Cricetulus griseus: one gene and its partners. The protein of the gene in region 5 purifies or fractionates together with the protein of the main gene of each other region. This does not show direct contact. Links are inferred from orthologs where the notes say so. Each region holds a gene or a part of one and is shown on either strand. Other genes may lie near its edges.

The links.
Region 1: the proteins of Zc3h18 (region 5) and Virma purify together in Homo sapiens (affinity purification with mass spectrometry; 3 studies listed by BioGRID and IntAct, counting the BioPlex papers as one, with this or other methods). This does not show direct contact. The link is inferred for Cricetulus griseus from reciprocal best matches to the Homo sapiens genes ZC3H18 and VIRMA.
Region 2: the proteins of Zc3h18 (region 5) and Sf3b1 purify together in Homo sapiens (affinity purification with mass spectrometry; 3 studies listed by BioGRID and IntAct, with this or other methods). This does not show direct contact. The link is inferred for Cricetulus griseus from reciprocal best matches to the Homo sapiens genes ZC3H18 and SF3B1.
Region 3: the proteins of Zc3h18 (region 5) and Ncbp1 purify together in Homo sapiens (co-immunoprecipitation; 3 studies listed by BioGRID and IntAct, with this or other methods). This does not show direct contact. The link is inferred for Cricetulus griseus from reciprocal best matches to the Homo sapiens genes ZC3H18 and NCBP1.
Region 4: the proteins of Zc3h18 (region 5) and Srpk2 purify together in Homo sapiens (affinity purification with mass spectrometry; 3 studies listed by BioGRID and IntAct, with this or other methods). This does not show direct contact. The link is inferred for Cricetulus griseus from reciprocal best matches to the Homo sapiens genes ZC3H18 and SRPK2.
Region 6: the proteins of Zc3h18 (region 5) and Sf3a1 purify together in Homo sapiens (affinity purification with mass spectrometry; 3 studies listed by BioGRID and IntAct, with this or other methods). This does not show direct contact. The link is inferred for Cricetulus griseus from reciprocal best matches to the Homo sapiens genes ZC3H18 and SF3A1.
Region 7: the proteins of Zc3h18 (region 5) and Fnbp4 purify together in Homo sapiens (affinity purification with mass spectrometry; 3 studies listed by BioGRID and IntAct, counting the BioPlex papers as one, with this or other methods). This does not show direct contact. The link is inferred for Cricetulus griseus from reciprocal best matches to the Homo sapiens genes ZC3H18 and FNBP4.

What each region holds. Positions count from the first base shown.
Region 1 is NC_048595.1:125,649,737-125,653,614, reverse strand, and holds part of Virma (protein virilizer homolog), read right to left. Parts: coding exon 3,793-3,878; intron 2,661-3,792; coding exon 2,494-2,660; intron 1,915-2,493; coding exon 1,583-1,914; intron 1-1,582. UniProt on the Homo sapiens protein: Associated component of the WMM complex, a complex that mediates N6-methyladenosine (m6A) methylation of RNAs, a modification that plays a role in the efficiency of mRNA splicing and RNA processing.
Region 2 is NC_048595.1:409,446,337-409,450,549, forward strand, and holds part of Sf3b1 (splicing factor 3B subunit 1), read right to left. Parts: coding exon 4,027-4,213; intron 3,940-4,026; coding exon 3,838-3,939; intron 2,418-3,837; coding exon 2,238-2,417; intron 1,101-2,237; coding exon 1,014-1,100; intron 920-1,013; coding exon 649-919; intron 378-648; coding exon 232-377; intron 129-231; coding exon 1-128. UniProt on the Homo sapiens protein: Component of the 17S U2 SnRNP complex of the spliceosome, a large ribonucleoprotein complex that removes introns from transcribed pre-mRNAs.
Region 3 is NC_048595.1:97,267,748-97,271,960, forward strand, and holds part of Ncbp1 (nuclear cap-binding protein subunit 1), read right to left. Parts: intron 3,717-4,213; coding exon 3,619-3,716; intron 2,459-3,618; coding exon 2,395-2,458; intron 1,522-2,394; coding exon 1,411-1,521; intron 1-1,410. UniProt on the Homo sapiens protein: Component of the cap-binding complex (CBC), which binds cotranscriptionally to the 5'-cap of pre-mRNAs and is involved in various processes such as pre-mRNA splicing, translation regulation, nonsense-mediated mRNA decay, RNA-mediated gene silencing (RNAi) by microRNAs (miRNAs) and mRNA export.
Region 4 is NW_023276806.1:171,082,905-171,087,117, forward strand, and holds part of Srpk2 (SRSF protein kinase 2), read left to right. Parts: intron 1-874; coding exon 875-900; intron 901-2,048; coding exon 2,049-2,295; intron 2,296-3,301; coding exon 3,302-3,769; intron 3,770-4,213. UniProt on the Homo sapiens protein: Serine/arginine-rich protein-specific kinase which specifically phosphorylates its substrates at serine residues located in regions rich in arginine/serine dipeptides, known as RS domains and is involved in the phosphorylation of SR splicing factors and the regulation of splicing.
Region 5 is NC_048596.1:199,022,412-199,027,070, reverse strand, and holds the start of Zc3h18 (zinc finger CCCH domain-containing protein 18), read right to left. Parts: upstream 2,982-4,659; 5' UTR 2,840-2,981; intron 1,979-2,839; exon of another isoform or gene 1,913-1,978; intron 1-1,912.
Region 6 is NW_023276807.1:100,715,924-100,720,136, forward strand, and holds part of Sf3a1 (splicing factor 3A subunit 1), read right to left. Parts: intron 3,020-4,213; coding exon 2,869-3,019; intron 1,973-2,868; coding exon 1,779-1,972; intron 921-1,778; coding exon 803-920; intron 532-802; coding exon 346-531; intron 1-345. UniProt on the Homo sapiens protein: Component of the 17S U2 SnRNP complex of the spliceosome, a large ribonucleoprotein complex that removes introns from transcribed pre-mRNAs.
Region 7 is NC_048599.1:86,026,386-86,031,224, reverse strand, and holds the start of Fnbp4 (formin-binding protein 4), read left to right. Parts: upstream 1-1,757; 5' UTR 1,758-1,778; coding exon 1,779-2,094; intron 2,095-2,970; coding exon 2,971-3,063; intron 3,064-4,839.

The DNA of each region.
Region 1 (3,878 bases), on a different chromosome or scaffold from region 5:
AACAGCCTCTCACAGTGGTTAAGAGCAGGTGACTACAGTGCCAGACTGTCGTGTTCTATCACCTACATTCTCTTCTATAAAGTAGGTGCTATTAGAAATACACCTCAGGGTTGATGCAAGAGTATTAGATGAAGTTCTGAGAACAGTTGCTGATATCCTATGTATACATGATTGCTATAATATGCAAACTCTGATTCCTCTTCATTCATACCCTAACTCAACAGATACAAACATGTCATCAGTTCTCCAGTAAAGAACCTGGCTGGATTGTGGTGGCACATGTCTGTCATCCCAGCATTCATGAGGTTAAGACCACAAGATTTCCTTGACTACATAGTAAATTTGAAGCCAGCCTCGTTATAGACAATACATAAAGGATATTATATAAGACCCTGTCTCAAATAAAATAGAGTGTGAAAGAAAGAGAAGTGGAGGAGAGTGAGAGAGAAAGAGAGCAAAGGAGAGAGAGAGGGAGTGAGAAGAGGGAGAGAAGGAGAGACGAGACTGATCTCTGAAGCCAGCATAGTGGCATATGCCTGTAATTTCAGTACTTGCTGAAGCAAGAGGGTCACAAGTTTGGGATGAATCTTGGTAAATAGCAACACTTTGTATAAAATGAAAAAAAAAACAACAATAACAAAGGAGTAATATCTATAAGTATAGTCAGTTTCAAAAACTCAAGACAATTTAAAATAAACCAAATACAACATTAAAAGAAAATATAGGGGCTGGAAAGACAGCTCAGCAGGTAAAAGCAGTTGCCATTCAATCATAAGAACCATACTTCAAATACCAGCAGTTCCTAAACACCTGTAACTCTAGTTCCAAGGGATCCAATGCCCACCTAGTCTGGACTCAGAGAGAGAGAGAGAGAGAGAGAGAGAGAGAATGAATGTGTGTGTGTGTGTCTGGATTCCTAACATGTAGCATATAGACACACATGCAAGCAAAATAGCCACACAAATAAAATATTAAATTTTTTTCAACTTGGTGTGGTGATACATCTGGGATTCAGAAGGTTTGTTTCCAATGTAAAAAGGAAAACAGTAAAAAGAAAAGGAGGGGGGAGCCAGGTGCTGGTGGTGTACACCTTTAATCCTAGCCCTCAGGAGGCCAAGGCAGGTGGATCTCTGTGAGTTTGAGGCCACCCTGGTCTACAGAGTGAGTTCCAGGACAGCCATCGCTACACAGAGAAACATGAGAGGAAGAAAGGGAGGGAGGGAGGGAAGGTGGGAAGGAGGAAGGGAAGGAGGGAGGATGGAAGGATGGATGGAAGGATGGAAGGAAGGAAGGAAGGAAGGAAGGAAGGAAGGAAGAAGGAAGGAAAGGAAGGAAGGAAGGGCAGCAGGGCAGGCAGCAGGCAGGCAGGCAGGCAGGCAGGCAGGCAGGCAGGCAGGCAGGCACTCCTCATAACAGAAAGTACAACATAGCAAAGGGAAGTAAACAAGAGAGATGTCTGTTGCTTTATTTTACCAGTACTCAACAGTGACAGAGGCAGCTTAACTGTAGGAAGAGAGAAATGTTCTATCTGGGTTACATGTTTGCTACTCCAGCCCGACAGGAGACATACACAGGTGGTTACCTTTTGAAGCAGGCGGTGTGAAAAACCTGTTCTGACTGTGAAAAGCACCCCGTCCTCCTCGATTGCCTGAAAATCCACCTCGAGAGGAAATCTTCTGTGACACTTTAAGTGGCCGTTTCGGTGGGGGTATTCCATCTTGAGGGACCACTTCTTTACTTTCAGCTGCAACAAAGTCATCCACGTGCATAGACGGTGGCCTACTCGTGTTCTGTTTTCTCTGACGAAAAATATCATGGGGCCGGATGCCCTGTCCAAATCCGCCCCGGCCACGGCCCCTTGGTGGTGGCACAACATGAGCACGTTTGGCAGGCTCGATGTATTCAGATTTTCCACTGTTAAGATAAAAGCACTCTATGGGAAAATGTTTCTTTTTCAGTTTTCCAGTGAAAGTGTCCATCTTTGCAATATTAAAAATGGAATCTCATCTTTGATGCCTCTACTTACAGGAACTGTTTCAGTAATATTACTTTCTGTGATAATATAGCAAACTAAGTATGCTTGTTTGTTGGTAAGACTAATATTTTTTAAACAATCTAGGCAGTCTGTTTCTTGCTCAAAGGAAGAACAGTACAATGAGGGCTCAGTGGAATCAGGAAGTACAATGCCCTGTGTTCAAACCCCAGCAACAGCAGCAACGACAGACAAACAGAATGTACTAGTAATGCCCCAACAAATTACTCACTTTAAAATCTCCGATTACAATTATGCCAGCCAAGGTGGCACATGCCTTTAATCCCAGCACTCGAAGGCAGACAGGTAGATCTCTGTGAGTTCAAGGACAGCCTAGAAAAAGTTCTAGGACAGCCAGAGAGCTACATAGTAGAGACCCTGATTCAGAAAAACAAAAAGAGGAGGGGAGCTACAGATATGTGTCTATCTTAAAATAAGGTCTGCCATGGAATGAATTTTACCTTGAAGTTATGAACGTCTCGTGCTTATGCTTCCCCAGTTTAAATCCCTTAGTAGTCTTGGTTCTTCCTGGAGATGACGGCTCTGACAAAAATGAGCGCTCTAATTCTGAGTGCAAATCAAAGTCACTACAGCACTTTTCAGAAAGTTCAATCAAGTCAACCTTTACCTGCAGTCATAAAAATAAAATAAAATACATTAAATTTAAGTTCCTGAAACTTTCACTACAGAAACTGCCATTACCTACAAATTCTATTACCTTCTCATGGTAAGCCACCATGTCTAACCAAAATTCAGTGTTTCAGTCACACTACTAAATTTTAATTTTCTAACAGTCACACAAAGCTACTGGCTACTATTCCAAAGCTGGAAAAGCACAGAACATTTCTACTCTTATACAGAGTTTACTGGACAGCACAGTTCTAATGAATCAAAAAAAAAAAAAAAAAAAACTAAAAATAAATTCTTTAATGCACTTTTAGTTATAATATGTGTATTTTTTTTCTTAAAGGAAAAGCAGCTCTCATTACACTAAACATATATTAAATACAAATTGCTTCATTCTTTCAGTTCCATTACTCAGGATGAACACTAGTATCTTTTGGACAAGGGAATACCCAAGCAGATTTCTTTGATAAAGAAAATAACCAATATAGAAGTGCAGTAAGATGTGGCTAAAATTCTACAGAAATACACCTCTGAGAAGCATCAAACAGTAGGTCTTTACACTCTTGAACCGACAGCATTAAGAACATCAATTACATTAATACTATAATACACTCTACAAGTTCCCAGAAGAGACCAAACCATCCTCTCCTTGAACCCAGTGAAGAACAAACAGCTGTGTCTGCCCCACCAGCATAAAAAGACCATGTGCTTCAGAGGATGTATGCAAGAATGTAATGTTTTTCCCTCATCACAATCTCAAACTAGCCTGAAGCAAAATGGACAGGATGAAAAAAATGAGTTCTAGATTTCAGTAAGTGGGCGACTGTCACAGACATACATGATTCTGCCCTCAAATGGACCTTAAGAATATATTATAAGCTGGACACTGGTGACACATGCCTATAATCCCAGCACTCGGGAGGCAGAGGCAGGTGGATCTCTGTGAGTTCCAGGCCAGCCTGGTCTACAGAGCAAGTTCCAGTACAGGCTCCAAAGCTACACAGAGAAACCCTGTCTAGGAAAAAAAAAAGAAAAAAGGAGTATATTATAAAAACTATTAGAATGCTACCAACACAAAAAGAAGCAAACAGAAACCAACTTTTTCTAAAAGTTAGTAATAAAATCCTTCATACCAAATCTAGATCTGTATCAATCTCTTCAGCCTGAAATGGAGTAAACCACATAGATTTTAACTGGTCATCCATGACATCAGCTAGCA
Region 2 (4,213 bases), on a different chromosome or scaffold from region 5:
ATTTCTTCATCTGGAGACTGGAATTCTCGAATAAGGATTAACATCACTTCTCTAGTATAGTAGTTGGCATATTCTGCATCCATAAGAGGAATAAGATACCCAATGGCCTTTAAGAAAGCGGCTAAACCCTATTTAAAAATAAAATGTATAAAAATACACACACATCAGTAAATTAAGTTTAGCTTGTCCTAATTAACAGTAACAAAACCAAAATCTATTGAGTGGGTTTACCTTTCCTCTGTGTTGGCGGATACCCTTCCATAGAGGTTTGAGCACAGAATCAAAAGATTCGATACCGTAAGGAGTTGCTGCTTCAGCCAAAGCAGCAATGGCCAAAGCACTGATGGTCCGAACTTTCTGCTGTTCATCCACAAGACCTATACAATCAAACACAGGTGTGAGCAGGCACCAATACCTAATTTTCACAATACAATCCAAACTTTATCATTGTATCTAACCTTGTATCCAAACTGCGAGAAATGTTACAGTAGATAAAATTTCAGCAAAAGCAGTTTATTAACAGAAAATATTATAAACCCCATTTCAAAAATAAAGCATTTGTATGGGGAAGCCCTTTCAGTTATTCCCCACATCCCAAACAGTAAACAAAAATTCAGGACAGTCTGATCTATAAAAGATAAAACTTACCATGTTCAATGATTTCAACTAAACTTCTGAGATGTGGCAAGATAGCACAGCCCATAAGAATAGCTATCTGTTGTACAATCTTAATACCAGTGTGTCTCGCCTGCCAAGACTTCTTGCTTTTGCACACAGCTTTTAAGAAGGGCAACAGAGAAGGAATGCCCAGAGCAGAGGCTACAACAGCAAAAGCTCTAGCTGTTGTGTTTCGGACATACTCATCCATGTTATCTATATCAGGCCTCATGGTAGAAATCATAGTGGCCAGACCAGCAGCCTAAAGAGAAAAGATACAATAGCTTCAGTTAATACCATTAATCCTCCACACATCAAAAGACAAACTTCCTCTTCTAGGAACTTAATGTGAATACCTTTGCCAAATTAGAAATAATCTCTCGGCCTTCCACTCTAGCATAGTAATCTTCATCAATCAGCAATGGCTCGATAACCACAAGAATCTGAAAAAAACACAAGGAATTATGTTTCCACACCAACTTACAGTTATCAAGGAACTTTGTTAACCGATGGGTAGGTTAAAGAATTTTAATTCCATACTGTCAAGCCCTAGATATAGGTGAAAATTAAATATAAACTAACATTTTATATTTAGAAATATATAAGCAGTCATAATATTGATTCTTTATTCTGATACAAAATAAAATACCTATTCTAATTCTTACAAGAGTAAAGAGAGCAAAAACCATTTACATATACCTATATTTATAAATGTGATGCTTCTGAAAGGAAAAAAGAGATCGGTGGTTGTAATAATTACTGTTGATCGTCAATTTGGCAGGATCTAAAACCACTGAGAATGCCTTGCAAACACCCACCTAATTGTGAACTGCCTGGGCAGCAGCACATCCTGTACTAGAGTTAGCATACATCCATACATACATAGACACAAGGCAAACCTCAATAATTTGGTGAGACCCTTTCTCAAAACCCCTACAAGATCACAGGACAGACTAATTCAACACTGATTAACTCTAAGGAAACTATAAATAGTAAAATTTTCTAGACTATGCTTGTATAGAATCAACTAAAGTTTTTTAACTTTTAAAAATAAAAGGAAAAGAGCTGAAGAGATGAGATGGCTTGGCAGTAAAGACACTAGCTGCTCTTCTTGAGGACCCAGGTTCAATCCCCAGCAGCCACATGGTTACTCAGACATCTATAAATCCAGTCCCAGTGGATCCAATATCTGTAAATCCAGTCCCAGGGGTTCCAATGCCCTCTTCTGGCTTCCAAGACAACAAGCATGCAAGTAATGCAGGCAAAGTATCCATATACATAAAGTAAGTTTTTATAAATACAAAGACAATTTGGTAAAATAAACCTGACTTTTTATATTGAAAATTTAAAAATATTGAACATCTGGGCAGTGATGGATAAAAGCACTCAGGAGACAGAGTCAGGTAGATCTCTGTGAGTTTAGAAGCCAGCCTGGTCTACAAGGCAACAAAGAAAGACCTATCTCAAACAATGCCTCTCCACCCTGGGGGAGGAGGGAACTTCCAGATTCCAGACAGTGGAAAATAGAACCCCCAAAATAAAAATTAAACCACTGAACACTACTTGGGGAACAAACCAACCTTGTGCACATATGGCCGTACTAAGTCATCAAGTTTATACAATATTCTATCAATAACTTTCACAAGCAAATGACGTTCTTGATCCTCAAGCGTAGGAGACATCAACAGAGGAAGAATCTGGTTAAACAAAGGTCCAGCTCCAAATTCTCGAGCTTTATCAGTAATCTGACGTAAGGCAGCCTGGGGAAAAGCAGAAGGAAATGAAAATATTAATTTTCTTTTATGAGCAAGCATTCATATGGGGCAAGTTTCAACAGGAATATTTTAATGTATACTTATGCAGGCAATTTACATATAGTAGTAAGAATTCATTTGTCAAAATTGTTTTAATGTTTAAACTCACATGACTCAAGTTTAATGTTATCAGCTCATTCAAAAAAGGTAATTAATTTAGTGGCAGGTGAGATGGCTAAGAGGTAAAAAGGAGCTTATCACCAAGTTCAATGACACCCACTTCAAACCCTGGGATCTAGACAATGGAAGGAAAGCACCAACTTCCAAAAGCTGTCCTCTGACCTCTCTGTTTACTCTGAAGTATGCATCCACCTGCCTGACTGCACACGCAAACTCATGCATGTATACACTAAATAAAAGAAAAAAGGGTAATTTATAGGGCTTGTAACATTCCTCAGAGGACAAAGGGTACTGGCTACTAAGCCTGACGATCATCTGAATTCAATCCCCAGAACTCACTTCATGAAAAGAAACGACTGATTCCTGCAAGTTATCACCCTGTATACATGCTCATGTTTTTTGAAAAGATAATTTAGTAGAGCTATAGAACCACATAAGTGTATACCATATATCTTGGCTGAGCCTGAAGAGCCTTCTATAGTCAAACCACATTTGGTGCTAATAGAACTCACATAATTTCCACTAATCCACCTCTATTTCTAAGCACTTTCAAGTTGTCAAGGACAAAAAGAATTTAACATCCTCATGTCCTTATCAGAACAAAAAAAATCCTTTGATAAAAATAATTCAATCACTGAGTCTAGAGCCAAAGTCTGTAATCCCAAGCAGCCACTCCAGAATAAGAGTGGCCTGCCTGATCAAGCTTAAGGCAATGTATCAGAGACCACATAAAAAAACAAAAACAGTAACCAGAACAGAGTGTCTTTTTGTTTGTTTTTGTTTTTGGAGACAGGGTTTCTCTGTGTAGCTTTGGAGCCTATCCTGGCACTCACTCTGGAGACCAGGCCTGCCTCTGCCTCCGGAGTGTTGGGATTAAAGGCGTGCACCAGCATGCACCTTTAATCCCAGCACTCCGGAGGCAGGCAATATCTGTCAGTTCGAGGCCAATCTGATCTACACAGCTAGTTACAGGACAGGCTCCAAAGCTACAGAGAAACTAAACTCTGCCTGGAAAAATCAAAAATAAATAAACAATTTTATGGGCTGGAACTAGGGAGTCAGATGTGGCACACACCTCTATTATTGTTTATTAAAGGTGGCATACACCTTTAATTGCAGCACTTGAAAGCCAGAATGGCAGGTGATTTCTATAGGTTCCAGGCCAGCCTGGTCTGCACAGTGAGTTCCCAGAAAATCAGGACTATGCAGAGAACCTGTTTCAAAAAACAATAAAAACAGAACTTACCTTTCTCATTGGAGGTGTACCATTCTTAATCTTTAAAAGCAACTTCATTATCTTTCTCTCCTTCTGTTCTTCTGGACTAAGTGTGGATTCATCAACATCAACCTATAATAAAATGTAAAGGTGGATCAAGACAGTGATTTGTAACTCCCAAACAAAGAATAATACTTTATTTCTGTTAGCATCACTTACCAATAGTTTATCAAAGTACTGAATGTCATCAGGTTTTAAAAATGGAAGATTCCCAGACGGCTGGTCATTGACACTTTTCATAGTTCTGTCTTCAGTTTGCATGTGGAAACCAGTCATGCCACCCAAAGGTGTGGGTGTTGCTGTCAGCTTTCGAGCTGGAGTTCGAATGGGAACATAACCAGCTGGA
Region 3 (4,213 bases), on a different chromosome or scaffold from region 5:
GTGTGTGTGTGTGTGTGTGTGTGTGTGTGTGTGTGTGTGTGTGTGTGTGTGTGTGTGTGTGTGTTGTTTTAATGTTTTGTTCTTCCTCCTTTCCCCCTCAAAGTTTGTTTGGATTTTCATTTTTTCTGTTTTTGTTTTAAGGGAGACATTAAGTTGATTGGCTAAGAACTGGGAAGAGTTGGGAAAGAGGACAGAAGATAATCAAAATATACTGTATGAAAAATTATCTAGCCTGGCAGTGGCTCATGCCTTTAATCCTAGCACTTTTGGGAGGCAAAGGCAGGTGGATTTCTGTGAGTTCAAGGCCAGTATAGTCTAGTGAGTTCTACAACAGCCAGGGCTATTCCACAGAGAAACCTTGTCTCCAAAAACCAAACCAAAACACGACACACACACCCATCTAAAAAAGAACAAAAATAAACAAAAAAACAAGGCCTTTTAAAGATAAAAGCCACATAACATACCTATAAGCTAAAACCACTCAAGAGTGGTAAAAAAGCTTATTTCACAAAGGGCATAACAAATCTGAGCATATTTATACCAAATATGGACAAAGCAAAGCTAATGGAACTAGAGAAATGAACAAATGGCAGACTAATATCATTCCTAGTAACTCATAGAAGCAGCACAACACATACAGGCACACACAGAGATAGGGAACTATTTATTCAAATAATACAATGAATAGAACTTATCTAATGGGCTTATAGAAGACCTGAAGTCCTGAAAAGGCAGAATATACATTTTCTTAAAAACAACAACAAAAAAACCCATTATTTTAAAAGGCAAGGAGCTGGACATTGATGGTACATACCTTAATCACAGCACTTGGGAGGCAGAGGCAGGGGGATCTCTGTGAATTCAAGACCAGCCTGGTCTACAAATCAAGTTCTTAGGACAGGTAGGGCTGTTATACAGAGAAACCCTATCTTGAAAAACTAAAACCAAAACCAAAAGCCAACCCACCCCCCAACAAAAAGTAACAACAAAAAGGCAAAGGAATAGCGGATATGGCCTCAAACCTGTTAATCCCAGCAGTTTGGAGGCTGAGGCAGGTGGATCATCCTGGGTGTGAGGCCATCCTGGGCTATCTTAGAAAACAAACAAAAGGCAAGGGAATAATACCAGCATTATTAGTGTGGTGTGAAATGAGCAGGATCCTGCTGGGGAAAACAAAGGAGTGTATAAGCTATAGCGCCCCATTTGTTTTAAGCAGGGGCAGATGCTATATGTTAACTTTACAAACATGCATTTTGTCCCAAGTCTTATTTACTTAAAAATAAATGAAACCATTATCGCTAAAACCCAAAGCATAGGAACATAAAGGTGAAACTGAGAAAAGACAGCTTCATAATGCAATCTTCTAAAAAGCACAACCAACAGTGTACATTTAACAGCACGAAAGGATACAACTTGGGGCAGAGAGCCAGGCTGAAGTTTGCACAGTTCGATGAGCAGTGTAGTGTACATTACATCAATGTGAGGGGGCGCTGGAAGCTGAAACAGCTCTGCAAAAATCACCTGTGAAACAACTCGGAGTCAGAAACATCGTAAGGACCCACACATTACAGCCTAATCCTAAACTCAATGGCACCTACAATGGAAAAAGAATTCCCTTTTATTCTGAAAAACTATGCTTTCTGAGACCTCCAATTCAACAACATAATGAGCAGCCCCCTTTTATACACAAAGAGTCCATTAGATGAAAGCTGCTGTGACCCATTACTGCTGAGACAATGTACAATAATCTATCCTTTGAAGTCTCAGAGTTGACTGAGGGAGGCATTTTATCTAGGGGCTCAACCAATGGAGCAGAATTCCTGTGGGTATTGAGAACTCTTGGTGGACCAGGGATCAAGACAGTTGAGTATTTTATACTGCTACTGAGATTTAAAAATATGACTTAGAGCCATGTGTGATGATGGCACATGCCTAGAGTCCCAGCAACTCAGGAGGATAAGGCAGACGGGTCGTAGTTCCAGGTCAGGTTGGGTGATATGATGACACCCAGTCTTTTTGTTTTTGTTTTTTGATACAAGGTTTCTCTGTGTAGCCCTGGCTATCCTGGATCTTGATTTATAGACCAGGCTGGCTTCAAATTCAGAGATCCACCTGCCTCTTCGTCCCAAGTGCTGGTATTAAAGGCGTGTGCCACTTAAGAGGGGAAGAGAGGAGGGAGAGGGAAGCTGAGGCCAGCAAGATGACTCAACAGGTAAACGCTCTGTATTTCAATCTCCGTTCTTTTTACTAGCAAGGTTAATTGAGAACACAAACTGTGGAGATTTCCTTGTTTCTCTATTCATTCTCAGAGCCTGATAAGTAGCAAGGAGCGCACAGACAAACCGTCCGCAGACAGACTAAGAAAACAGAGTTAGAACGGCATGAAATGCATACCTCAACTATGTGGTAGTTCAAGGGGATCTTATTCTTCCCTGGATAGCTCACCAGCTGTGCAGCACTGTAAGAAGTTTGACTTCAGTTAGTAAGGGTACAAGACACACAAACCCTACCAGCTTCAAATGCAGTGAGCTTAGCTGAAAAACGAACTTTGCTGTAATGTTCTAGTGTTCAGTTATTAACATGGTATGAATTGTTTGTCTTACATACAAAAAGGAAATTAACACCAGCACCTGCAGATCTACTAACTTAGCACATTCTTACAGGTGTTCCACTCTTCAATACAATGTTTCTCCTCAAAAACTAAGCCAAAAGTTTCCAGCTTTATGAAAATGTATTAATACTCAGGTTTCTGAATGTTAGAAAACAGAAAAAAAGCATTAGTACGCTTTAATTTCCATACATCCAAACTAAAATCAGACTACTATTCAATTTTAGCATATTTGGAATGTATGTACCCGTGTGTGCATGAACAGGCATGTGGAAGTCAGAGGTCAAGAGGTCAGTGTTAAGTGCCTTCTTCAACTGCTTCTCTATCTTACTTTTTTTTTTTTTTTTTTTTAAGATTTATTATGTATACAGTGTTCTGTCTGCATATATTCCTGCACGCCAGAAGAGGGCCCCAGATCTCATTACAGATGGTTGAGCCACCTTATAGTTGCTGGGAATTGAACTCAAGACTTCTGGAAGACATGCCAGTGCTCTGAACCTCTGAGCCCCTCTATCTTACTTCTAATACAAGGCCCCTCACTAAACCTGAGGTTCAGGGACTGGAAAAGGCTCAGTAGTTAAGAGCACTGGCTGCTCTTACAGAGGACCTGGGTTCCATTCCCAGCAACCACACAGCACCTCACAGTTGTCTGGAACCCTTTTTCCAAGTGATTCAAAGCCCTCTTCTGGCCTTTGAGGGCATCAGACACGCAAGTGATGCAAGAGACATACATGCAGGAAAAATACCCATATACATAACACCTGGGGTTCACAGATCAGCTATGACTGGCTGGACAGCAATCTCTAGGGATACTCCTGTCCCAGCATCCCCAGAACTGAGATACAGGTGAGTGCCAACTGTTTACATGGGTTCTGGGCCCCTGAACGATGCTCCTCATGCTTGCCAGGCTATCTCTCCAGTCTTATACATGCCCAACATATATTTTGGTCTTATAAAATCATCAAAATGGTTTCCTACCCCCTTTACAAGTACCATGAAGAGACTCTCACCAAGTTTTCCTTTCCTTCCAGTAGGATTTTATGATGCAGTGAAGATTCTCCTCTATGACAAACCTCTCCACTGAATGACTCCCTGGCATAACAGGACCCTGGAAGGAAGAACAAATGAACTCACACACAGAACCACAAAACAGATTTCTTTCATTTATTCAATAAATACTTGCATCTAGGACTGAACTGTTTTGTTAGGTACCTACCACAGAATCAAGAATGTATTGTGCCCCTGAGATATCAAATACCCACCATGCCTATTTTACAAATCAATTTTTAAAAAAATTTTAAAAACCAACTCATCTCTTTCTCTCTAAAAAACTCTTATCATCTATCCATCCACCCACCCATCCATCATGTGTGGTTGTGTGCCATGGTACATTTGTGGCAATCAGAAACAATTTGTGGGGAACTGGCTGTCTCTTTTTACCATGCAGGTCATCATGATTATGATGGATCTCTGGTGTCAGATTTCATGGCCTGTGCTTTTATCCACTCAAGTATTCTAAATTTAATAAATACCTTTTAAAGACACTATCAAAATACAAAAGACTGAAACGTTTTCTTTCTTTCTTTCTTTCTTTCTTTCTTTCTT
Region 4 (4,213 bases), on a different chromosome or scaffold from region 5:
TGTGTTGTTGAAGTCTCTATGAAGAAAATGTAATGGGTTTCTTGTAGCCTATCTGCAGACATTTTTCTGATTTAGGTTTCATAAAACTCTTTTCTTCTCTTAACTTAATGTAGCTGGATCCATTTCAGTTTAACTGATGCATTTGGTATTACCTATGAAAGAGCAAGGGGTGAGGGGGTGGGGAAGGGGACCAGGTCACTTGAGCATTAGCAGGTTTTGGTGGCAGCGAAGTGCTGGCTGTGCTTTCAGTGTAATCACATTGCCTGTGCCTGGTACATTGTCCTGCAGATGTGCAGATTAAAGGGCTAAAGGTCTTATGACTGACAGGGACTTCAGAGAGGTTGCTTTCACCTCATCTCATATGCCATCATGATGTTATTAGCGCATGCAACCAATTTACAAAGGTTTTGACGCTTATAAGGCTGACTTCCAGAGTGATTGCTGCAATATGCTGCACTGTGTGACTTAGTTTAGTTTAGTTGTGTGATGTTTCTAAGTGGTTTTCAAACATAGCTGTGTATCTTCTCATCTGAAATGTTCATCGCCTCATTTGTGAAGCACATGTGGTTCTATGACAGACTTACAAACTATTCCTCCATTTCTCTTTCTTCTTTCCTCCATTTTCTTAATTTTTTAGTCAGTGCTTTGAGAGAGGCTGTTTTCAGGACAAGTGTCTTATATATGAACAGCTTATCCTATGCCCTGTAAGAGTCAGTTGTGTGTTTGCATTGCAGAAACTTTTTAGAAACGTCAGAGGTTTAGTTTTTTGAAGTTGGGTAATTATTAAAAGACAGTATTATTTCATTTTGCAAATGAGATTGTCCAAAGGTACCTGTTTTCCTCTGAATATCAATTTTGTTTTGTTTTGTTTTAGTGAGTACAGCTCCACAGCAAAAACCTGTAAGTATTTTACATGTATATTCAGCAAAAGAGACTATTCAGTGTTGAGCTTCACAAACTATGTAGCAAATGTTCTAATCTTTATTAATTTAAAAGTTGGCATGTTTATAAATGCTCTGTTCTCCCTCTCCCCAAAAAAGCTTGACTTTTTGTGTGGGACTAGTCAAAGCTATTATAAGACCAGTCTCTTCCTGTGCTCCCTGGGCTGCATTTGGCCAAGTTCAGTGAATTGCAAGGTTTTAGATTAAGTTTAAAAGAACCGTTTTAAAATTACTTCTGCTTGGCCTCCAAGTATCTTCTTTGACAAAACCCTTTTAATTTTTTTATAGTTAGCTGTGTAAGTGAGCATTATATATTCTGTGGATGTGCTGTCTTAAAAGAGAAGTCAAGTCTGGTGAATTGTTGCCAGAAAATCCAAATCACTTTTCTTTTTCTTTTTCTTTTTTTGGTTTTTTGAGACAGGGTTTCTCTATGGCTTTGGAGGCTGTCCTGGAACTCGCTCTTGTAGACCAGGCTGGTCTGGAACCCACAGAGATCCGCCTGCCTCTGCCTACTAAGTGCTGGGACTAAAGGCATGTGTCACTACTGCCCGTCGCAAATCACTTTCATAGTTTTACCCTGATCTAAGGATTTGGGCTTATGGGTCTTTGAAACTTTAAAGGTATTCATTGCCAGTATTTTCTAAGACATATGGCTGTAGCTGAAGGTAGGCAAAACTGTGGCTTTTCTTTTTTTGTCCTTTTATATTATATGTTTATTCCTGAAAGTTCATGTTATATTGCCTATCAGTCACAGCTTGGTATTAAGAGCCAAATGCAGACAGTGCTGTTTGCCACCTGTCTTGGTAGGTGTTTGTTTTTGTTGTTAAGAGTGAGAGTCATTCTGGATATAGGCAGCAGCAAAGAAAGGTTGCAAGAGATTCTTGTTCAAGGTGCTCGGTTCTAGACTTTCTAATGGAAGTTATGCCCCCTTAATGGCAAGACCAACAACATGAGCACAATCCTATCCTAAGGTAGAGTTTGTGATCATAACTGAGTATGATATGAAAAAGCAGAGTTGGAATTTGCCGTGTTGCCAGCACTTACACTCCTAAACAATGTTTTAAGAAGCAGCACCTAACCTATGGTACTTTCTTTACCATGTTGTAGATAGGAAAAATATCTAAAAACAAAAAGAAAAAGCTGAAAAAGAAACAGAAGAGGCAGGCTGAGTTGCTGGAGAAACGCCTGCAGGAGATCGAGGAATTGGAGCGAGAAGCTGAAAGGAAAACCATAGAGGAAAGTGTTACCACTGCCGAGCCATCCAATGAGCAAGATGATGGGTGTCACCTGGAGGGGAAACTAAAGGAAGCAGAATTCGAGGAGGCAGCTGAAGGAGAGATAGCAAAGGATAATGGTTAGTACAACTGGGAGCAGGGGGGAGGGCTAATGGGTGGGTGTCATGGAACTGCACGAAAGGCCCAGCCAGTGTGCCACACAGGTTGGCTTCATGCTGCTGCCTCAGATGTTAAGGACAACTTTCTCTAACTCTTGTTGGAGATTATGGGAAGCAGCCTATACGCCATCGGTAAAATGTATGCTAGGCATTATGTTGACATTTCAAAGTAGGTTTTCAAAAAGGGAAGAAGAAAGTCCAAGAAACATGTTTTTTTCCTGTTAATGATGCCCCTTATTTTATTTTGTGACTGACCTTTTGCCTAGCTTTAATACACCACAAACCTTATTCTAAAGCTGTAGAGGAAAGGGTTAGTGACTCAAAAAAATGGATCAGTGTTCCTGCAGAGGAACCAAGTCCGGTTCCCGCAGCACTTGTGTCCTGTTGCTCACAACTCCCTGTGACTCCAGCTCTAAGGCCATAGGCATGCGCGCGCGCGCGCGCGCGCGAGCACACACACACACACACACACACACACACACACACACACACACACACACACACAATTTACAGTGAAAATCTTAAAGATCAAGTACAATAACCATCTGAGGAAAGCAGTGGGGAGGGTTTGAAATGAAAATCCAGTTTTGCTTAGCATTTTACCCCCCAAACCAACTTGTTCCTGAAAATATAAGGCTAATTATTAAATAAGCAAAAAATAGGGTTTAGAAAGCCATTTTTGCCTTTTAAACCAATAGACATGTTCTGTGGTATATTAGAAGCATCTCTTAGTTGGGTATGATAGCAGATGCCTTTAATCCCAGCACTTAGAAGGCAGAGGCAGGTGGATCTCTTAAGCCTGGTCTACAAAGAGAATTCCAGATCAGCCAGAGCTACAGAGAGAAACCTGTCTGGAAAAACTAAAACCAGAAAAATACAAAGCAAAGTATGTCTTGTTGAAGAAGCTAACTAGTACTGCTTTGCAAGGAGAGTCATGACTCCTAATTTTAACCCTATGTTTGTTAAGGTGAAGCTGAAGACCAGGAAGAAAAAGAAGATGCAGAGAAGGAAAATGCTGAGAAGGATGAAGATGATGTTGAACAGGAACTTGAAAACCTAGACCCTACATGGATGGAGTCCCCTAAAGCCAATGGCCATATTGAAAATGGTCCATTTTTATTGGAACAGCAGCTGGAGGATGAAGATGATGATGAAGATGACTGTGCAAATCCTGAGGAATATAACCTAGATGAGCCAAATACAGAGAGTGATTATACGTATGGCAGCTCCTATGAACAGTTCAATGGTGAATTGCCAAATGGACAACACAAGAGTCCAGAGTTTTCCACATCATTGTTTTCTGGGCCCTTAGAACCTGTGGCCTGTGGTTCTGTGCTTTCAGAGGGATCACCACTTACTGAGCAAGAGGAAAGTAGCCCATCCCATGACAGAAGCAGGACAGTTTCAGCCTCTAGTACTGGAGATTTGCCAAAAAGTAAGTGTCCTTGTATCTCTCTCTCTGTTTTCACTGAGCAGGGTCATACCTTTGATAAACACTGTGAAAAGAGTTGGCTAAAGGGGAAGAGACACTTTAAATATGCACTAATCCTTTAATTTCAGTGCTTTTGTATTCAAGAACAAATGGAATGCTTTAGCTGCCAGGGTTTCCCTTACTCTCTGAAGTCCTATCCCTGGACATTTTTCATTTATTATATATTCAGTGATATCAAATACTTTTGAAACACCTTCACCACTAACTACCTTATGGGTTTCTACATGAAACCCTTTTCTAGCTGCTGCTGCTGCTGCTGCTGCTGGTGGTAGTGGTGGTAGTGGTGGTAGTAGTATCTTTGGGTTTTGTTTTTACTCAAGGGAACACCTGCTGGTTTTCAGCTATACCAACAGACAAGTTGAGTTTTATTCAATGGTTGTCCTTGTT
Region 5 (4,659 bases):
TTCTTTGCTCTCCAGTATTCAATGAGAGGTTAAGCGCCTTTGTTCTATCACTGGTCACTACCTTACTAACTGAACATGGTCTAGATTCTACAATATACCAAACTGAGAGCCAAAATATACCTTTTCTTGCCACCCCCTTTTTCTTTCTTTTTGAGATAGGATTTCTCTATGTATCCCTGGCTGTCTGGAACTCTTTTTGTAGACCAGCTTGTCCTAAAACTCACAGAGATCTGCCTCCCTGTCTCTTGATTGTTGTGATTAAAGGTGTGTGCCACTACATCAACTTAAATCTTTTCTCTGTATGAGTTCATCACCTCATGCATTGTCATAGTGATGGAAAACATATATTCTTCCCAATCCTGCAGAGTGAGAAAGGATAAGAGGCTCTCACAGGGCTGGCATTCAGCAGCCTATACACCACACACTGTACTATACGGCTGGGACACTTCTGAGACTACAGCGGCCATGATTAGCATCCACAGGATGCATGATCAGGGCTGCCATGGTGCAGAGTTACATTGCAGAGGCCCTGAAAGATTTTCTGAGAAAAGGCACTGCACTGTTCTTCCTTCCCATGGGACCTCCTAGGATTGTACTACTGGAGGCCACATTCAGGTTAACATGTTTCAGGGACAACTACAAATCTGTGTGTTTTTTGAAAAACCACTCTAAATCATACCTTTAGAGCAAGAATCATACAGGGAATCAGGAGATGGCTTGATTTCCAGCCCTGCTCTAGGAAGGCTCACTGTCTCTCTAGGTGCCAGTGTTCTGAGACAAATATTGTGTGTTACCCTATGCTGGATGAAGGGAACTATATGCCCTATCAAGTGTAAACAATTAATTGAGGGTCCTTCAGTCCAACTCAATACACTTCCATGTTTACAATCTTTGACCAACCCATCTTAGCCAATCACTCAGTAATGTGGGACTCTCACAAGTTTTAGAGCTAATCTTTAGTCCTCCAATCCAAAGTGGTGAACCTGTTCAGTGGGTGGAATGACTCAAGTCTTTCACTGTTTCTTTCCCCTACTGCACTTGACATACCTGAAAAATACTTGTTAAATAATTGACAAAAATCTCATTAAGCAAAGAACTACCTGTTGCATACTAAAAACAAAAAAGTTGCCTAATTTGTAAAACACTAGAACCAGAGCTCCAGAGCCTGTCCTCTGCTCTTGTCTCAGCAGCAGCTCTGGGAGGCCAAACTGACTTCAACCACACCACTAACGGCAGAATAGTAACAACACATTCTCCTCAAAGTTGGGTCACTGAGGAACTGCTACAAACTACTTAAGAGCCTGGCCTAGCTAGGCACTGGTGGCCGACACCTTTAATCCCAGCGCTTGGGAGGCAGAGGCAGAGGCAGGTGGATCTCTGAGACCAGCCTGGCCTACAAGAGCTAGTTTCAGGACAGCCTCCAAAGCCAGAGGGGTGTGTGGCTATTAAAATGAAACCAATTAATTCACATGCTTACTACTGAGACAGGTGTTTCAAGTGGACTTCAGCAAAGGTGGATCAATAACAAGCACAACTTCTGGGAAACTGCTTTCTCTTTTGAGACAAAGTCTCATTATGTAGTCCTGGCACTATGTATACTCGGTCAGCCTCCAGAGATCCTCTTGCCCTTGCTTCCCAAAGGCTGGGATTAAAGTTGTGGTATACCTTGCCCAGCTGTGGGAAACTACTTTTAGCAGAGCAGATCCTATGTTGATGTCTAAGTTCTATTATACCTGTTTAAAATCCTCATTCATCGTTTCAGTGTATACAGCAAGAATGTCAGGATTGTTGATAAGCACAATTCCAAATTGACTTAAGCTCAACCAAAAACTCTTTGATAAGGAGTAGTCACCTTGAGATGGTGTGTAAATGACAAGATAGCTCTTTAAAAATGAGCAAGGCAAGAGCTTACCTGTTGAGTGTTCTGAAGTAAATCCACAAAGTTCTCTTAAAATGTTTTAGTATTCCCCACCTACAACTGGAGAGAAGGTTCAGGCTTTGGGACATATTGAACTGGTTCCAGAACTGGCTGGGCTTCATAAGTGCTCAGATCAAACACATTCTCCTCTCAGGGGCTGGGAAATGGAAATTAGCCTAGGGGTTGAGAATCTCCAACCCCTGCCTTGGGATAGGTAATGTGGAGATGAACCAGATGCTCTCTTTCATTATCCCCAAATGGATCTGAAGAATTACCTACTCTTGCAAGTAAGTGCTAAACAGAACTCATTTAAAGCTACTATTGTGTCCGGTAAGCTCAGCTGTCAATGTACACGGGGAAAACTAAATTTCCAGCAGTAGCGAGACTTAAGTCTTAGTTTCTTTCCAGCACTACAATTGTTTGGCTACTTTACGCCAAAGACTCGGTGTCTCTGAGCTCACAGTCCAAAAGGTGAGGAGGTTATACTTCCTAAGAGATCGGACCTCTCGGGGCACCTGTGCACACTTGAAGTTGCGAGAGCATGTTGTTGCAGGAGGCTCCAGAGAGCTCAAAGTTCCCCGTAGAGCCCGTCGACAGTCCAGGCGAGCCTCCTCCCCAGCCAACCTGCGTGCTTCACTCCCCTTTGTAGGCGGCGAACATGTGCCACGCCGAGTGGCCCGGAAGAGAAATGACAGCTTCAGAAAACCAACTTCACCATGGCAGACCGCGGCGCGCTAAAGTCGCCAGGACGTCCCAGGCCGCAGCGGGCTCGCGCCTGCCCGCTGTCCCGGGCCGCGCTTCGACCCGCGGCTGCGCACAGCCGGGGGCGCGCCCGAGCTCGGGAGGCGGCGCCGGGCTCCCGGGCCTCGCTCCCGCCGCCGCTTGGCGGCCTCCTTCTTACCACCCGCCGGCCCCGCTTACCTCAGCGCGAGGACGGGAGGCGGCCACGGCTCCGCTGAGATGGGAGCAGCGTGGACAAGACGTTCCTCGACCTTTCCGCTTCTCACTGACTCTGGCTTCAGGCACGACGCGGGCGGAACAAACGGGCTCCACTACCCGCGGGGGCCGGCCATTGTGCGACGTCATCAGGCCGCGACGGCCGTACTGCGGGCCGGCGGGCTTCCCTCGCTAGCCCCGCCCTCCTCGCGCTTCCTTCCGGACTCTTGAGGCCCCTCCTCCGTGGCGCGCGCTCACAAGTCTCCGCTTCTGCGCACGCCCACCGAGGCCGGCCGGCTTTCTAGCGAGCCATCTAGCGGCGCGTGCGCAGAGTCTCTGGATTTCTGGTGGTAGCTTCCCGGGATGGGGAAAGGCTGGCAGCGGGCGGATCGTGACCCCCGGTAGGGAAAGTCCTTTGTAGCTCTTGGTCTGCGCGTGTGGACACCCCAGTGCCTAAAAACTTGGGATAGGTCTTTGCCAGGCGAGAATCTCCTGTCTTATTAAATGTCAATGCTTGACCAAAAGTATTTTGGAGACTGGAGTGTAGCTCTGAAGTAGAGACAGCTCCAGGTCCTGGTCCTCGCCTCCCGCTCCCCCCCCCAAGGAATATTTGGAGATATTTGTAGAGTTAGAGTGGCGCTAAATATTCTTGATTTCGTTAAATATGATTACCATGACCCAGTGGAATCCCCCTGGGGAGGATTTAAGCCGTTGAAACGTTTTTTACAGTCCCCCCCCCCCCAGCAGTGCTCTGTTGCTGCTGCTGGCCTAAACCCCCTGATCGCTACTGACAAAGTGTGGCGCGGTCATTGGGTACTGGCCCCTTGAAAATTTTGGAACTGGTTTTGGGCTTACATGCTTGGGGGCTGCCTGTCTTCCTCGGACAACTTCAAGGAAAACAGCCCAGATGCCCATAGCTGTTCCATTTTTACAGAGGAACATTAATTCAGCCACAGAAAGCAATGGTCTGACACATGCTATAAGCACAGAGATGCTATAAGAACCCTTAAATGGTGCTCAAGAAAAGCCTAGTCATGAAACCCAAGTGGCTGAGTACCTGTGAGGGATTTTTCTTGATTGAATCATTTGAAGTGGTTAGACCCACCTTTAATCTGGATCTTTTAAGGTGAGAAGATCCACCTTTAATCTGGGCCACACCTTTTGGTGGCAGCCTATGTAAAAGACATGGAGGAAGGAAGCCCTTGCCTGCTTGCTCCTACTCTGGCAAGTTCATTTGTTCACTGGCATTAGGGCCTACTTCTTCAGGATTTCAATGAATACTGAAGACCAGTTGAGACATCTAACCTTGACTGAATCCAGCCCACTGGATTCTTGGACTTTCCGTTGTTGGTAGGCGGCCATTGTTGAATTAGCTGGGCCACAGCATGCATGCATATATAGATCCAGGTGGATTTTGAATTTCCCTCCTGTTCTCTATGCTCTCCACCCCACTTGTTGCCTGAATTAATACTAAATATCCCCCTTCTCACTCCTGGGGACTTTCTTATGCAGTCAGAGCCACATTTTATAACTCAGTTTCAGTCACTTCCCTGATGGCTCGAGATTCCTCCAGTGGCTTCTTTAGCCATCAGATAAAACCTAAAGTAATGCACCACCCTTCCTATGACCCAGTGCTCCCAGCCCATCTCTCTGGCACTCATGTCTTCTTTCCTAGTCCTTCAATTTGCAATCTAGTTTTCTCTGTCCCCAGGTGTGCAGGATAGTTTTATGTCAACTTGACACAAGCTAGAGTCATCAGAGAGGAAGGAACCTCAACTGAGAAAATGCCACCATAAGATCCAGCT
Region 6 (4,213 bases), on a different chromosome or scaffold from region 5:
TAAAGGCATGTGCCACCATGTGCAGCCCTATCCTCTTGCTTTGGCTTTAGCAATAAGACTAGTGAGTGTCACTCCAGGAGACAGAATTTGAATCACAAGTCTGTCCAAGAGAGCAAATGACTAAGTATCCCTCCCAGCTATTGCCAGTATCTTGTTATGGAATTATCAACAGGCATGTGACAGCTGGTCAGTACCAGTCTTTGGAGGACTTCCCTATACAGTGTTCTGGAAAATACAAATTTCTTTTACAGTATCATAGGCTGCACCTATCTCCCAAATTCTCACTGACCTCAACTGTTCTGTGTCTACATAAAGGAAGCTATGGGCTGGGAACCTCCCGCTCACCTGGTGCATAAACCTCATCATCACTCTGTTTCTCTCGGATGGAGCGATCCCGCTGCTCCAGCCAGCGGGGGTCAAGAAGCCCAATACGCATGTGCTCTTGCATTTTGCTGGCAGGAATCTTCTCCCCAGTGATGGGGGATACAAGATATTCATCAGGAGCAGGAGCTGGAGGAAGGGGCTTAGAAGCTAAAAGGAAACAGATAACTAAGTGAGAATTCTGGATAGTAGCTGAGGTTAAGAAAGCAATACATTCAAACATCATTCACTGGAAACATCTCTTTAGTGCCACTTTTACACCAGAAACCTGAAACTGGAAATGACTACACTCTAGTTTCTTATCAAAAGGCTTGTAACCTAGGGGTTACCTCAAGCCCTCCTAGAAACAGCCCACCTGAAGAACACACAAGACCATGCAGGACTTTCTTTAGCAGCACAAGGACTGGGACACAGGCCCTACCTTTGGGATCATAGTCCTTTCGCACAATGACTTGGTCTGGAGTTGGGGGCAGAGGTGGAGGCATGGGTGTCTCCGGGGGTGGAGGCACTTTCTGTCCTTCTTCATCATCATCTGAGCCCTAAAAAGCAAAGCAGTAGCATAACTCAGGAGATGAAAGGGTGCGTCCCCAAAGCTCAAGACTGTGGCTCTCAGGGTGGCAAGGAGCCTTGGTCCCTGCAGCCAGCATCCATGTGCTAAGCCTTCTGGAGCAGCTGAGGTCAACTGGCAGCAAGCCAAGCTGTTTCCTCACAACATGAATGGGAGCATCAGGGACCATGGTGCTAACACTCCTCCCAGGCATTTCCAGCGGCTGGCACCAGGCAATCCCAAGAGGCCAAAGGCACTTAACACACAGAAGAATACAGGAGCCAAGTCAGCGCTCAATGGTAGCTGCTCCCAGAGCAATGCTGGGAGGGAGAGAAAAAGTCAATTCCCACAGACACTGGGGCCCTTTCTTCTCAAGCTATACACAAATTCTTTCAGAACAGGGAAAGCAGCTTGGCTCAGGATTCTGTGCCTACTTGGAGGACTATGCTGGAAGAGGGTAGAAATGTCTGAAAGGACGTGTAGGCTACATTTAGACAAGCTTGGGAACTAGTGATCCTTTAGGCCTGAGTGCTAGAAAGGCATCAAAACACAGGGTGATATGGATCCCTTAACAGGGCTGGTGGAGGGTGGGTTGGGATCAGGGATGCCAAGCCAAAGGGAAAGCAATAGACTACAAGGCTGGCACAGCTTCGAGATCTTTCCTATGAATTGGTCTTTGTTGCTGGAGTGTGTTGGGCTGCCTGGACTTAAAACAGCAGCAGCCAGTCTGGCCTTCTCCAGAACTCAAAATCTTTTGAGTCTCAAAGAGCGGAACCTTAGACCAGGAGAGCGTCCCCCAACTTCCTGGTCTCCAGGAGAAAGATCAGGTTAAAACCACCTGAGAATTTACCTCATCCATGTCCTGTACTTGAGTATCCTGGTCCAGTTGGGAAGGAGCCTCCTCAGCCTTTTCTTGCTTCTCATCTTCCTCGTCAGACTCAACCTCCATCTCCACTTCCTCACTTTCCCCAAACTTCTCATAGCGCTCTTGAATGAGGATTCGGGCTCCCAATTCCTCTGGTGTTGTTGGGGGTGGGAAGTTTCCTAAAAGGGGTAAGACGGGGTCAAAAGCATTCTGAGTTGGGTATGGTGTCAAGCACCTTCATTCCTAACACTTGGAAGGAGCGCTGAGGCAAGTGGATTTTCTGTAAGTTTGTAGTCAGCCTGGTTTTACACCAGTTCTAGGATAGCCAGGGCTACAGAGACCTAGCTTGATGATTATTCTTGGTTGTCAACTTAACTACATCTGGAATTAACTAAAACCCAAGCAGCTGGACCTGTGAGGAAATTTTTTTTTTGGACTAATCATTTTAGGGAAGAGCCAATCTAAATCTGGGCCACACCTTCTTTTGGAAGCCATGGAAAGAAGATTTTGCTTTTTGCCTACTTGCCCTGACTCTTGATGGAAAGCTTGCCAACCTGCTACTGAGGCATTCTTTCCCTAGTCAGGATTCCAAAGATAATGAAGACCAGCTAAGACATCCACTCTCCTGGACTTTCTGTCTAGAAACAGCCATTGTTGGACTAGCTAGATCACAGCCTGTAAGTCACTCTAATAAACTCCCCTTTTATGTATACAGATTCATTCTATCAGTTCTGTTCCTCTAGAAAACCCTGATTAATATGCCCTGTCTCCTAAAAAAAAAAAAAGAAAAAGAAAAAAGAAAAAAACAAAAACAAAGAACACAATAACAAGAAGAAATTCCTTGTCCTGTCTGTGAGCTACCCAAAGACTAGGAATTGTCTAATTTTATTATCTGCAGAGGACATCAGAGTCTAACATGGTAACCAGCTGATGAATTGCATTTAACTTGGGCAAATGAACGATGTTTCCCCTTCTGAAACAGAGGGAAAAAACAGTAATGAAGTCCTGTGCCTGGTTCTGCAGCTCCCTGGGAGCGCCAGAGTTCCTGGAGGCGTTCTCTTCTCGACCTACCTACCTTGCTCATTGGGTTGGAAATCCACTGTCTCCACCACGACAAAATCATGCCAGTCGATCTGAGCATAGGCCACCCGCTCCTTCTCTTTCTCTTCTTCTTCCTTCTTTCTCTCACGCTCCTGGAATTTGGCCCATTCTACTCGATAGCACACCTGTGAGGATAGAACATAGCAAGGTGCCTCCAATGATGCTTCAGGGCATTGCCTTCAGACCAAGATGCAACTATGCTCACAAGGGGAAACTTTAGTGTTCCAGAGTTGGCAAAGGGCTCCAGGCTCACAGCCGCAAACTCTCTTGTAGTAAATGTGCATGAAAACCTAGTAAGTGGTACTGTAAACCTTGTCAAGAGCTGCAAGTGCCATAGGCTCTAGGGGGAACCTGTCACCTTTTTTGTCTCTTTTGTTAGATAGTCATATTGTTAAAGTGTTCAATGTTTATATCATGATTGGTTCTCAACAGAGCAACTTCTTATTAAACTTTGTGGCAGTTAAAGCAGGGACTATGATCAAATGCAAAGACCGGTCGCATGTCAAGGGTAAATGGCAGTGGTGATGTGCAGCCCTTAAGAGGACATTCATATCACCCCTTCCAAGGCTCAGTGAATATTTATAGGCCAGGGAGTAGAAAGAATGTAAGAACCAGAAGATGGGGAAATGTACAGCAAAAAGACATCTTCTGGACACAACAAAGCCTTTGTACTCATCAACTCACTGCAGCTGTGGTTACCTACACAATACTGGACCCATTAGCAGTTCATCACAAATGGAGGATGGGCATTCCTCCTTGAGGAAATACTGGCAGTGAAGGGTGGCTTAGGTAAGGGTGTCATTTTCTTTAGTGGTGTAGTCACTGACAGGTTGGCCACACTCCAGTAAATAATCTCTCATCCCATGTTTGTGTAAGCAACTCCAACAAACACAGTAGGGCCACACAAAAGATGAAATGAAAGGAGGAGACCTTATTGAAAAGGGTTTCAATGGAAGAGGCAAGGGAAATGAAAGAGTAAGGGGAGACGAAGATATCTAAAAAATAGCATATACTTGTATGAAGCTATCAAAAACTTTTTTTGTGGGGGAGCACTTTGTGTTTTTGAGACAAGGGTCTCACTCTGTATCCCTGAGTGGCCCTGAACTTATTCTGGGATTAGAGGTGAGACACAAACATTTTAAAATATTAAGAAGAAAACCTGGTATATACAAAAGCAGCCTCAATCTAAGAGTCTGAAACAGCCATCTCACAGTTAAAACAAACCAGCACAAACCACGTCTGCTCAATTGTGAGAACCTGGTGACTTCAAAAGACACCTACTACCTCTCTCACCCGAGGATCTGCTCGGGAGGTAGTTT
Region 7 (4,839 bases), on a different chromosome or scaffold from region 5:
TTGAGACAGACATAAGATTATAAGTTTATTATAAGGCCCGGTAGAATGGGGAGACTAAGAAGAGGAACAGGGTAATGGCTGACCGCCATGGCCGGTCGCCATAGAGAGACAGAGCGGGGAAACAGAGAAAGGGGACAGAGAGCAGGAACAGGGGGAGAGAGAGACAGACAGACAGAGAGAGAGAGAGCGCGAGCGTAAAGGGGCAGAGAGAGAGAGAGAAAGGTGCAGGGGCCTATCTTTTAAAGGGGTCCTCTGCACCTGCGTGCAGACTTCTTTCCCATGGAACCTTGGGCTGACCAGGGTATTGCCTGAGTGGATTCCACCAGGTAACAGGGGCAGGCCAGCATAATGCCTGAACCTTTCAACTATGACTTAGGGCCTGGAATTTGCCAGCTTACAAGGCCATAAGATAACTGGGTACCAAGAATTCCCAGATGGCCACCCTCCCCAAGGGGCTCATGGAGGAGACAGATTGCCCCACTGGCCAATGTGTCAATAATTAACAATTAAGGGTCCCAATGAAACAAAGAGATAGCTACCATTTGCTCAAGCAAGATAAGCATATTCTGAGGTCTGCAGGTTTTACAACTGGTGGGTCAGGAGGCCATCTGATTCCCAGCCCTCTCCTCAATACAAAGGGCCTCTTAGGAACCCATGACTCTGGTGATGCCCCTCCTTAAGCTTGTGGTTTTTGCCTTTAAAAACACCTGTGCCTGGGGGACAGGGGTGCTCTCTAGCCTGCATGCTGAGAGAGTCCGTTTGTACAAACGTCCACCTTTCATTAAAGCCTCTTGCTGTTTGCATCAAGTTTCCGCTTCCTCATGGTGATTGGGGTGGTCGAGGTCCTGGGAAAAGATTCTGGAGGCCTGAGCTTCCGGGGGTTCTTACACTAATTCTGCTAGTACCGTGAGAACACTTCAGTAGCTCTCCTGTAGTAAAGCACACCACAACCTTATAGACCATGTGTGTCATTACTATATGTCCAGAAGCAACCAGGAATGCTAGGAGTGAGTCCTGGAAAAAAAAATCAGCATTATCTTGCTTGCCAACTATCTCTGGGGAGAACATTAATTGCTCTGGACGTCACCTGCCTCTAGGGATCCGGAGGTCACTTCTGCAGGCAAACAAGTCTCAGACTTTAAAGAGCTCAACGTCCCCAGTCTCCAGGTTTTTCCTCCAGACACAAGTGAAGGATTTAGAAATAGGGCAGAAAGGAGTGTTTCGGAAGATAAGTAAAGCAGGATGAGGTAAGATTTCTGTACCCATATGAATAGTTTGGTCGTTTTCAAGGCCCAGTCATTTTTCCCACTAATCACATCGTATTTGCGTTTTAAGGGTCTACAGAATTATAAATACCCAGCGTCATAACTGTTGTTTAATACTACACCCAGAAGAAGCCACAGTGATCAAGGGAACCTTGAAGAAGGGTGAAATACATCTTTACCTTCCTAAATGACAAACAGCTGAAAACAGCCACAAGATGGCTGACAAAGCGCTAAAGAAAACAGCGCAAGGGCGAAACCCCGTCTCCTGGAGGAAGTCGCACAAACGCGGGCCCTTCCGCACTATTGGCTGGACGTCCTGTCTTTTCCCTTTGCCATTGGCTACCTGTTCCTTCTCAAGTCAAAACAGCCAATCGCCGTTTCCCTGAACAAAGCCCACCCTTCCGTGGATGGGGCGGAGCGTCCGTAAAGGCGCCCGGGCTCAGGGCGCATGCGCAGGCGCTCCGCACCGTGCCGGTTAGAAGCGGATCTCCTCGGGAGGCGGTGCCGTGGTCCATGAATATTGATTACGCACCGGGGCCCCGTGCGCCCGCCCCTCCTGACTGCCGACGCTCGCTGCTCGCGCTCGGGCTCGCGATGGGGAAGAAGTCCCGGGCGGTACCCGGCCGCAGGCCCATCCTGCAGCTCTCTCCACCGGGTCCTCGGAGCAGCACGCCGGGCCGGGATCCCGACCCCGATCCGGATCCTGAGGCTGACTCGACGGCAGCGGCGACCAACCAGTCAGCCCCGGCGGCTGCGGCTGCGACGGCGGCGGCCGCGACGTCGCCCGCGGTGCCTTCCACTGCTGCTCCAGAGGACTCGCCTTCGGAAGGTAAGGGCGCGCGAGGTGCCCCTGCCTGTGTTTGGGACGTCCGAAACTCGAGCACGGGGCTTGAGGCCTAGGCCTCCCAGTGAGGAAGAGTGACCCTGGCGGGCGAGATACGCCTGGGCTGCCTGGGACCTGGAATCCGCGGGACTGTGACCGTGGACTCTGGGCAGCGGAAGGCCCGGCCGCGCTCATCTGAGGCGCCATTGCGGGTGCAGGGTTTTTCCCCGGGAACCTGTGCAATCCACCGAGGCCTGGCACCCCAAATGTCTCCCACATGACCCCCTACGATCTTGATAACGCAGAGGGAGGAGGAGGGCAGTTTCCACGTGGAGCATTGAAGCAATTGAGCCTAGCCTTCTCTGCTTGTCACACTTGGTTTCGGTTTTGTTGAAATTGAGACAGCCACTCTTTAGAAGGAAACAAACCCTTTTTTTCTTTATGCCAGACAAAGCATCGGTGCCCCCACCCCCCCGCCGACTTGTAGAAAAGTAACAAAGCCTGTGGGTTTCCCTGGAACTGTATTTGGGTTAGGAGTAACAATTCCTACCGGGTGTAGATGCGGGAGAAGCTGTACCATTATCAAGTAGCAAGAACATACTGTGTGGAAACCTACAGATTTATTTATGCGTTTTAATTGTTGAGTATTGCAGGTGCCATTTTCATATAAATGTTCAGGTTACTGTCGATGTCACTTAAATGAATGGAAGATTCTAGATCCCCCCCCCCCCGAGTTTGGACCAGTGATACACACTGGTTTTGGTTTTGTAAGTTGGTGAAATCCAGGCCTGAAAGGTCAGATTTTTATTTTTGTCTCTGCCTCTCGTGTTTTCTCTGGTCCACCGACTCACTGCCGTTTCCTTTTGTTCATTTCAAATATAGATGAACAGGAAGTGGTGGTGGAGGTTCCCAAAGTTGTTCAGAACCCTCCCAAACCAGTCATGACCACCAGACCCACAGCCGTTAAGGCAACAGGTACAGGTTTCTGTTGTTCTTTTACTCTTCTCTAAAATTTCTTTCATTAAGTTAAAATTGAGTGTGTGCCTGGATTGTCTGTTGGATGGTTGTGTTGCTAATTTACGGTTTCCCGTAAAAAGTAATTAAAGTGTTTCTGGGGTTGGAGTTGTGGTAGAGTATTTATTTGCTTCAAAGATGCAAGCCTCTGGGCTCCAGTCTTACAGAAAAATAGATTAACAATTTTGGTATTTTGAAACAGGGTTTCTCTGTGTAGCTTTGGAGCCTGTCCTGAAACTTGCTCTGTAGACCAGGCTGGCCTCGAACTCAAAGAGATCCTCCTTCCTCCTGAGTTGCTGGAATTAAAGGCGTACATCACCACAAACTTTAAGTAACAAGGATGTTTGTTTATTTTCGGCTTATTTAGTTACTGCTATACCCCAAATCGGTTTGTCTATGTGTGCACACACACAGGCAGACAAGATTGCATGCTTCTAAGGCTGTACCACCTAACTTGTTTATTTTTAAGTCAGAGCGTCTCAAGTGATCCTGAACTTTAGCTAGGCTGGCTAGACAAACCCCCCCCTCTCCAAGTGGTACTTTTCTGTACCACTCCACTTCACTCCCAGCACTGTGGTTATAGATGACTGCATCAGCCAAAACATGGTACAAGGGATCTGAATGCAAGTCCAAATTTATTTTACAAACTGAGCCATTTATCTACAAGTTTTTTGGCCATTTGGTGTTTTTAAGGGGCACCAATTATGCCTTATTTTTCATTTTGACTATTTATTGATTTATTTATTCGGTTGGTTATGGTTTTTGTTGTCATTCTTTTCAGACAGTGATTCATGGTCCAGGCTGGCCTAAAACCTTGTATATAACTGAGGCTGGCTGACTTTGACCTATTGCTAACTCCTGCCTTTACCTCCCAAAGTACTATAGTTATTACAGGTGTGCTCCACCACACCCCACTCATTTAACACTGCCTTGGTTGGTACCAATTAAATATTTGTGAAGCTGAAAATTCCTTTTCAAATATCCCCCACCCCATACAGTTGGCAGTCCTATTGTGCTGTAATATTTGTGGCAATGGTTATATTGGCAAACCTGAGTTCAAATCATTATTCTAACTTTCACTCATGACAGTTGTTGGGCTGAAACTTACTCATCTATAAAATATGTCTACTACTATAGACCTAAATTGCTTGGGGTATTAAATTTTACATATATATCTTCTTAAATTATATATAAATTAATATAAATTATATATGTATGTTTATTTCAGACATTAAAACAGCAAGATTGTTTTCTGTATTTTACATGTATTGAAGATTAAAGTTTTTTTAAGCTTTACGTATTATGTATACAATGTTCTGCCTGCATGTATACATTCAGGCCAGAAGAGGGCACCAGATCTTATTACAGATGGTTGTGAGCCACCATGTGGTTGCTGGAAATTGAACTCAAGACCTTTGGAAGACGCCGGGTGGTGGAGTTGCACCCTTTAACCCCAGCACTAGGGAGGCAGAGGCAGGTGGATCTTTTATGAGTTCGAGACCAGCCTGGACTACAAGAGCTAGTTCTAGGACAGCCTCCAAAGCCACAGAGAAACCCTGACTCGAAAAACCAATAAATGAATGAATGAATGAATGAATGAATACCTTTGGAAGAATAGCCAGAGCGCTTAACCACTGAGCCGTCTCTCCAGCCCCCTAGTAAAATGTCTTTTAAGAGTAATTTTATTTTTACATTTTCTGTTTTTATTTATAGGTATGTGTCTATGTAAGTGCAATG